Oryzias latipes: one gene and its partner. The protein of the gene in region 1 purifies or fractionates together with the protein of each later gene. This does not show direct contact. Links are inferred from orthologs where the notes say so. Each region holds a gene or a part of one and is shown in the gene's direction. Other genes may lie near its edges.

Region 1 (3,654 bases):
CTAACAAAAGTGAACCCAAGTAAAAGTCAGCAAAAAGCCCTCCAACATAAAATTAAGGTGACATTTTTGTCCAAGGCTCAGTCTGTATTTATACATTTAAAAATCGACTTTTTTTAGAAGGGAATTGAAAAAAGGGAATTTTTGTTGTTTTCTTGGCCATAATTTCTGCATATTAGCAGGAATTCATCAGCAGAGACTGCTTAGAGCTCAGGGGGGCTTGTGGTCCCAGTTCAGGAAAATATTTGAATGAGGAAATACTCAGAAATGCAATTTTAAGCTTAATTTTAAATACATATATATCCTCCAACATAAGAAAAATGTAAAAAACAAACACAATTTTCTCTGGAGTCTTTAAGAATCAGTCCATAAAAACCTTCCTTAATATTAAACTGGTCCTCGCTTGGAAACCAATCCCTTAGGAATCAAAGTAGGAATTAGATTAAAATTATTCTTATGATACTTGATATTATTGAGGTATTTTGGCTGGTTCTGAAAAAAATCAGTCTGTATCATTTCACAGCAAAAACCTTTAATCTGAGACAAATCTTTTTTAAATCAGTGGCAGTAGTTTTATAAATAAAGCCTCAATACTTTAACCCAACATGTCAACTGGCCTGATAAACCAGTCTGTATTTGTGGTGACGTGTTTGGTTTGTTCCTCAGATCTGATTGAGCTCAAGGTTTTGCTGGAGGACGCGGAGGACAGGAAGTATCCGGAGAACGCTTCGTTCCGCCGCCTGAAGGAGATCGTGAAGGAGGCGGAGACGTGCTCCTCCGTGGCTCAGCTGTTACTCAGCCGCAAGCAGAGGCACAGGTCTGTTACCGCGGGAACAGAAGCTCACGAGAAAGTTTGAAAACAACTTTTGATGCCTTGGTTTTCCTGCTCGCTTTCTCCAGCAGCCGTCTCCGCTCAGAGAGCAGCCGGAATCGCACCAAACTGACGGTGGACGAGCTCAAAGCCTTTGTGGACCAACTGTTCAAGCTGCCGTGTGTCATCAGCCAGGCGCGACAAGTCAAAGTTAGGCTCTTCCTTCAGTATTCTGTTTTACTCTGTGATCCTGCGATCCATTTCCTGTGATCGGTTTTTGTGCCATCAGGAGCTGCTGGAGAACGTGGAGGACTTCCACGAGCGAGCCCAGGTGGCTCTGTCGGAGGAGATGCCGGATTCTTCCAAGCTGCAGGCGCTGTTGGACCTGGGCAGTGGGCTGGATGTGGAGCTGCCGGAGCTGCCCCGAATCAAGCAGCAGCTGCAGCAAGCCCGCTGGCTCGACCAGGTGAGGCCGCCTCCGTCGGATGTGGCTCTCGCCGCTCGTTTCTACTCACAAATACATAAATGTGTGGAGGAAGAGTTCTGGAGTGGAAACCAAATAAATCACTTTGTTGTTTTTTTTACGTTAGTTTGTTTCACTTCAAGTTGTGCCTTTATAGTTCTAATGGATCCCAAGCTTAAAGTCCCGATCTGATCGTCAGTTTCAGAAGCATTCCCAGTCTTCTTTTTGATTGATTGATTATGCTGTCATGTAGCCAAAATCCTGATTTACAACGATTTGATTAAGAAAATATAAAGAAATTCAACTTAAAGCTTTATTTTCTTTGCATATGTCCTCCATCATGAGAAAAACACCTGAACATGTTAGAAATACCACAAACACCAGTTTGATTGGAGTGGGTCTTCAGAGCTTTGTTTTTCTGTCTCAAATCTGTTTTTCTTTTCTTAAATCGCAGGTCCACGTCACTCTGGCTGAGCCCCAGCGGGTCACGCTGGAGCTGATGAAGAGGCTGATAGACTCTGGGGTCGGCCTCGCTCCTCACCACGCGGTGGAGAAGGCCATGGCCGAGCTGCAGGAGGTCCTCACGGTGTCGGAGAGGTGGGAGGATAAGGCCCGCGCCTGTCTGCAGGCCAGGTAAACAGCCAGAACCGACTCAGGCCACATTTCCAAGCTTTTATCGTGAAAGGCAACTATGATAGAAAATCTTTGTCAAACGAGTTTAAAAAAAATGTATCAGAGCAAGAATTGGTATTGTGACAAATATGATGACTGAGTAATAGCTGTTTACAGTCTCAACAGAATATAGTCTATGGGATTCTGGCTTCTTGGAGACGGCGGGTACTTCCTGTTTAGAATTTGAGAGGGGAGGGGTCACCCAGTCCAGTTCTTATATAAAGTCAATGGTTCAAATGCATTAAAGTGTTGATTTTGAGGGGGGGGATACAGGTTTTGTCTCCTGCTTTTATTAAAAATCAACAAGTTGGATAGTTTCTGACTGATGGCAACATAAAGCCAAAAAAAAACATATGATTATAAAAAAAAATAATATTTTGGTTAACAGAATGTAAGCCTTTATAGTCGCTCTGAACTTCAAAATAACATCCTGGCCCCTCTGTCTGTCCTCTTGGAAACTCAGACCTCGCCACAGCATGGCCACCCTGGAGAGCATCGTGGTGGAGGCCAGGAACATCCCGGCGTATCTCCCCAACATTTTAGCCCTGCGAGACGCTCTGCAGAAGGCCAAGGAGTGGACGGCTAAGGTGGAAGCCATTCACTCTGGGAGCAGCTTCGCCTACCTGGAGCAGCTGGAGAACCTGCTGGCCAGGGGTCGCTCCATCCCCGTCCGTCTGGACCCGCTGGCTCAGGTGGAGTCTCAGGTGGCTGCGGCCCGAGCCTGGAGAGAGAGGACGGCTCGCACCTTCCTGAAGAAGAACTCCACCTACACTCTGATTCAGGCGAGCAGCTTCATGTTCTTGAAATAAAAAAAAGTCACAGAAATAAGAAGAGATTTTTGCCTCTAGCATGCAAATCCAGGATCACTATATAATCTAGAATTGTTTCTTTTAGGTTCTCAGTCCTCGAGTGGATATCGGGATATACGGCAACAGCAAGAGCAAGAGGAAGCGAGTGAAGGAGCTGATGGAGAAGGAGAGAGGAGGCTTCGATCCTGACGCTCTCAGCGACCTGGAGGAAAGCCTCGAAGAAGTGCGCGAGCCGTCCACCGTCGTGGCGGCTTTCAAAGCCAAAGAACAGAAGGAAGTGGAGGCCATCCACTCCCTCCGGGCCGCCAACTTAGCAAAGATGGCGATGGCGGACCGCATCGAGGAGGTCAAGTTCTGCCTGTGTCGCAAGACGGCCAGCGGCTTCATGCTGCAGTGTGAGCTTTGTAAAGACTGGTTCCACGGAGCGTGTGTGCCCCTGCCCAAGACGGGAACCCCAAAAAAAGTGGGCGTGTCTTGGCAGAGCAACACCAAGGAGTCAAAATTCCTGTGCCCGCTGTGTCAGCGCTCAAGGAGACCCAGACTAGAGACCATCCTGTCCCTGCTGGTTTCACTACAGAAGCTGCCAGTGCGCCTCCCAGAGGGAGAGGCGCTGCAGTGTCTGACTGAGAGGGCGATGAGCTGGCAGGTCAAAACCTAAACATTTGCCGTCTTTAATTTGTATAGTTTTTCTTTTTTTTTTTTTGAAAGCTCGTTTTCCTCTTTCAGGATCGAGCGCGCCAATCTCTGGCTACAGAGGAGCTGTCCTCGGCGCTGGCGAAGTTGTCCGTCCTCAGCCAGCGGATGGTGGAGCAGGCAGCGCGCGAAAAAACGGAGAAGATCATCAACGCCGAGCTGCAAAAAGCTGCCGCCAACCCAGACCTGCAGGTGGCGCACATATGCCC
Region 2 (3,654 bases), on another chromosome or scaffold:
GAGCTTGTACAGGTTAGTGTTGTATTTGTGATTTAAAACATGAGGAGCGTTAATTATCCATGTCTCATCCTAATGAATGAACCCAGAAAGCATCCATGAGCCTCTGCTGATGGTTTGTTTTTGTTTGTTTTTGGCAGAAGCGGGACCAGAAGTCTGAGCAGACTAACGGCCTGCCGGAAAAGTCTCTGTCTAAATGCTCTTCGTCTCCCGCTGTGGAGCTGGAGCTCAGTGCTGGCCCACTGCGGCTTGACGGACTTCCCCCAGGAGCTGGTGCTGCGGGCCCCGGGTTGAGGGTGGCCCAGGTCCGCCTTCTGGACCGTAAGACTTGCAGCAGGCCTGGCACTCCTACATCAAACACCTCATCTACCCCGACTCTCTCCGAGGATCAGAATGATGGGGAGGACGAGACGGTCGAGCCTGAGGAGGATTTCCAGGGAGCAGAGTTTGAAGCTGCCCCTGTATTAGCCCCAACGCCGCGCCTCCTCAAGAGGCCCTTCCAGCTCCTAATAGCTGCTGCTATGGAGCGAAATCCCACGCAGTTTCAGTTGCCAAGTGAGCTCACTTGCACCACTGCTCTTCCAGGTGAGTCATAACATCACAGTTAGATCTGACACTTGCTTGTCTGATTGCTGAAAGAACTAATGATTGCATCTGATTGCTTAACCAAAATGTCATTGTTCAGACGTATTACATTTGTCTGAAGCAATCTGTGTTATCCAGGGGTCTCCAGCACTTGTCTGACTAAAGTTTCTTCCATTTATGGCATCTTTTCAACAACAAACAAATATTTTCTGAATTGAATGTCGTGCCTTTTTGAACACAATGGTGACACCAAACTACTTTAAAGTGGTACAGTGTTCCTGGAAGGCCTGTAGTTCTTTAGTGTAGCCAGTAGATGGAGCCATAACAGAATTTATTTGAGATTAAATTAGTGTTCTCTTGACATGTATTTGTTTGGGTTTAAGTGTGTATGTGCGCGTGCGTACGTGCGTGTGCATAAAATACAACAGTTTAGAACGACATGCAGGTCCTAAGCTCCACGTGGGGCCAAAGGCTCCCGATGTTCAGTGGAACAGCAGTTTACAAAGCAGCTATGGTGAAAGCAGCAACGGCTGCAGAATACTTTAAAAACGACGATCACTCATTTTTTACAGAAATTGTAAATCATAATTATTTTTCTTTCTTGTTTGTGTTTCTGATCAAATGAAAATGAACTGTTATTGAAAAAAACCCAATGAGAAGCCAGAAAAGGTGGTTATTATGGGACATGGCTGGCTGGATGATGATGATGATGTCCATTATCACTTCATGTCTAATAACTTTGACTGTTAAATATGGACAAACGTCAGTATCTAACCAGCGATGTCCCATAGTACCTACCTTTTCCAATTTCTCATTCCGTTTCGTTTTTCTCACTTTTTTTTGTTTGTTTTTTGGTTTTCTGGAAATTACTTTAGTTTTCTCCGTTTTTCTATTTTCCGTTTCTGGAATTTTGTTTTGCTTTCTAAAATGTAAAGCTGTTTTCTTTAATATTTGTTTTTTGTGGTTGTGATCTTTCAAATGTTTTTGCATCCAGTGAATTAGTTGAAGTGACTTGCACTTCAGGGCCACCGTACAGATCGACGGCTTCGGTCTTCAGTCAACATCTTCTTACATTACTTTTCACCTTTCAAACTGCTTTCCAGGCAGCAGTAAACGGAGGAGAAAAGAGGAGCTTCTGGGAAAGCCCTTCCGGAGGCCTCAACACGAGCTGGATACTAACGGCCTCGTCCCTCTTCCGGTGAAAGTCTGCTTTTTATGCAACAAGTGAGTTTCCAGTTCATGTGAGGACAAAACTGCTCTGGGTTGTTTGTACTAATAGTGCTGTATTTTCTGCCATAGGAGTTGCAGGTTAGCTCCACTGATCCAGTGTGATTATTGCCCACTTCTCTTTCATATGGACTGCCTTGACCCCCCACTTACAGGCTTACCTGCTGGCAGGTGGATGTGTCCAAATCATGTTGAGAATATAGCGGTAAGATTCCCCGGTCTCTTTCCTTTTGTCTCTAAATAGGATTTGGACAAATTTAATGATCAAATGAGATTGAAGGGGCCTTTATCATGCAAAACCAACTTTTTAAGTGTATTAAAATGTTCACTCCTCACAAAAAACACTTTGATCCAGTCACGCATTCGGGAGTTTTCATCTAAAATCCTGCTCTCTGAGCACCAGCCTCTCCCGGTCCACGGAAACGAGCAGCTTCTCACATTGTGACATCACAACGTGAAGAACCGCCCTTTCCAGGAAGAGTCTGCGCTGCCAGCACCACCCCCAGGCTAACACACACACACACACACACACACACACACTGACCGGCTAAATACTTTCCAGTCATCTGCTTTATATGAACATCCATCTTTGCAAAAGTTCCCGTGTTCTCTTTCGTTCTTTAGTGTGCCAAAGGGAATATATTATTATATAGTTTATTCTGAAAAGCATGATAAAGGCCCTTTAAGCCTATAGTAAACGTATATCAATTTAATATGAAGTCTTCTGTTTACTAAACAGCTCAATCAGAGGAGCCTGAGTCTGTCCAGGCGCTGTCAGCTCTTTGACCAATTCCAGGACAGGATGTCCCAACATGCAGTCAAGTTGGACTTCCTTCGTAGAATCCATCGGCAGAACGCACCAAATCGACGCGCTTTTTCCCAGCTGATCAAGAAAACCATCAAGGTAAGTGAGAGTCGATGGGAACGATTGGAGATTCCCAAACGTGGAGCTTTCTTTTCTTTGGACCGATATTTTCCTACACACAATATCCAACATTTGTTTTTCATTTAAAAAAATTTTTTTAACTCACAGCAGCTCACAAAAACTTGTAAGTCAGGATTTTACTAAAAACGAATTCAGAAAGAGGAAAGCGGTTCAGGCCCAGAGAGAAAAAATACTTACGTTTTTGCTCAACTTAAAGCAATTGTTGGAGGCACGAATAAAGGAATTCATTTTGTACCTCAACTTTTTCTGGTGTTGTAGTCTGGTCAATTAAAAGCATTGGGACTCGTCAACTGTCGTGATTGGCTAGCATACAAAGCCCAAAAGTTTAAAAAATAAACGGAATGGAGGCGGTAACTTTGACGTCGAGTGGTGTTCTTGAACAAAAAGATGACTAGCAAACCTGTGATGCCTCTTTGTTCCTGCTGTTCACCTTTAGTTAACTGGGAGGTCTTTTAAAGTTGTCTGCTAGGAACTGTGAGGAAACATTTATGCTTACATGTCACTTTCCAGTAGTGAGGAGAAAAGAGGAGCATTCATCTTTTTGGTGTAAATGTAAAGGTAAACTGTCAAAACACTGTTGCCTTTACAGTCATAGCAGAACTATAGACTTGTAAACATGTAACGTGATGCTCATGAATGTTTTTTGTCAACAAATTCATACTAAAAATGTGTCAGTGTTGTTATGCTAAACAATGTAAGTGCACGGACCGTACCATCGTCATGGACCAAGCATTGACATCCTATGTTGGCTCTTAATGTGAGCGTTTTTCTTACTCTGTCAAAGCTTAGTAATAAAATGACAAATGATGGGTTTTTTTTGTACCAGGTCCCCGATGCCATTAAGTCGCAGTACCAGAATCCTCCTCCCATGCTGCTCCCTGCAGGGATGCGACAGTTGG

Evidence for each region.
Region 2: the proteins of kdm5a (region 1) and phf12 purify together in Homo sapiens (affinity purification with mass spectrometry; 3 studies listed by BioGRID and IntAct, with this or other methods). This does not show direct contact. The link is inferred for Oryzias latipes from reciprocal best matches to the Homo sapiens genes KDM5A and PHF12.

The regions. Positions count from the first base shown.
Region 1 is NC_019881.2:6,890,449-6,894,102, forward strand, and holds part of kdm5a (lysine-specific demethylase 5A), read left to right. Parts: intron 1-663; coding exon 664-814; intron 815-897; coding exon 898-1,018; intron 1,019-1,097; coding exon 1,098-1,274; intron 1,275-1,725; coding exon 1,726-1,904; intron 1,905-2,406; coding exon 2,407-2,725; intron 2,726-2,837; coding exon 2,838-3,398; intron 3,399-3,478; coding exon 3,479-3,637; intron 3,638-3,654. UniProt on the Homo sapiens protein: Histone demethylase that specifically demethylates 'Lys-4' of histone H3, thereby playing a central role in histone code. Does not demethylate histone H3 'Lys-9', H3 'Lys-27', H3 'Lys-36', H3 'Lys-79' or H4 'Lys-20'.
Region 2 is NC_019871.2:27,109,694-27,113,347, reverse strand, and holds part of phf12 (PHD finger protein 12), read left to right. Parts: intron 1-137; coding exon 138-582; intron 583-1,685; coding exon 1,686-1,806; intron 1,807-1,881; coding exon 1,882-2,014; intron 2,015-2,548; coding exon 2,549-2,713; intron 2,714-3,581; coding exon 3,582-3,654.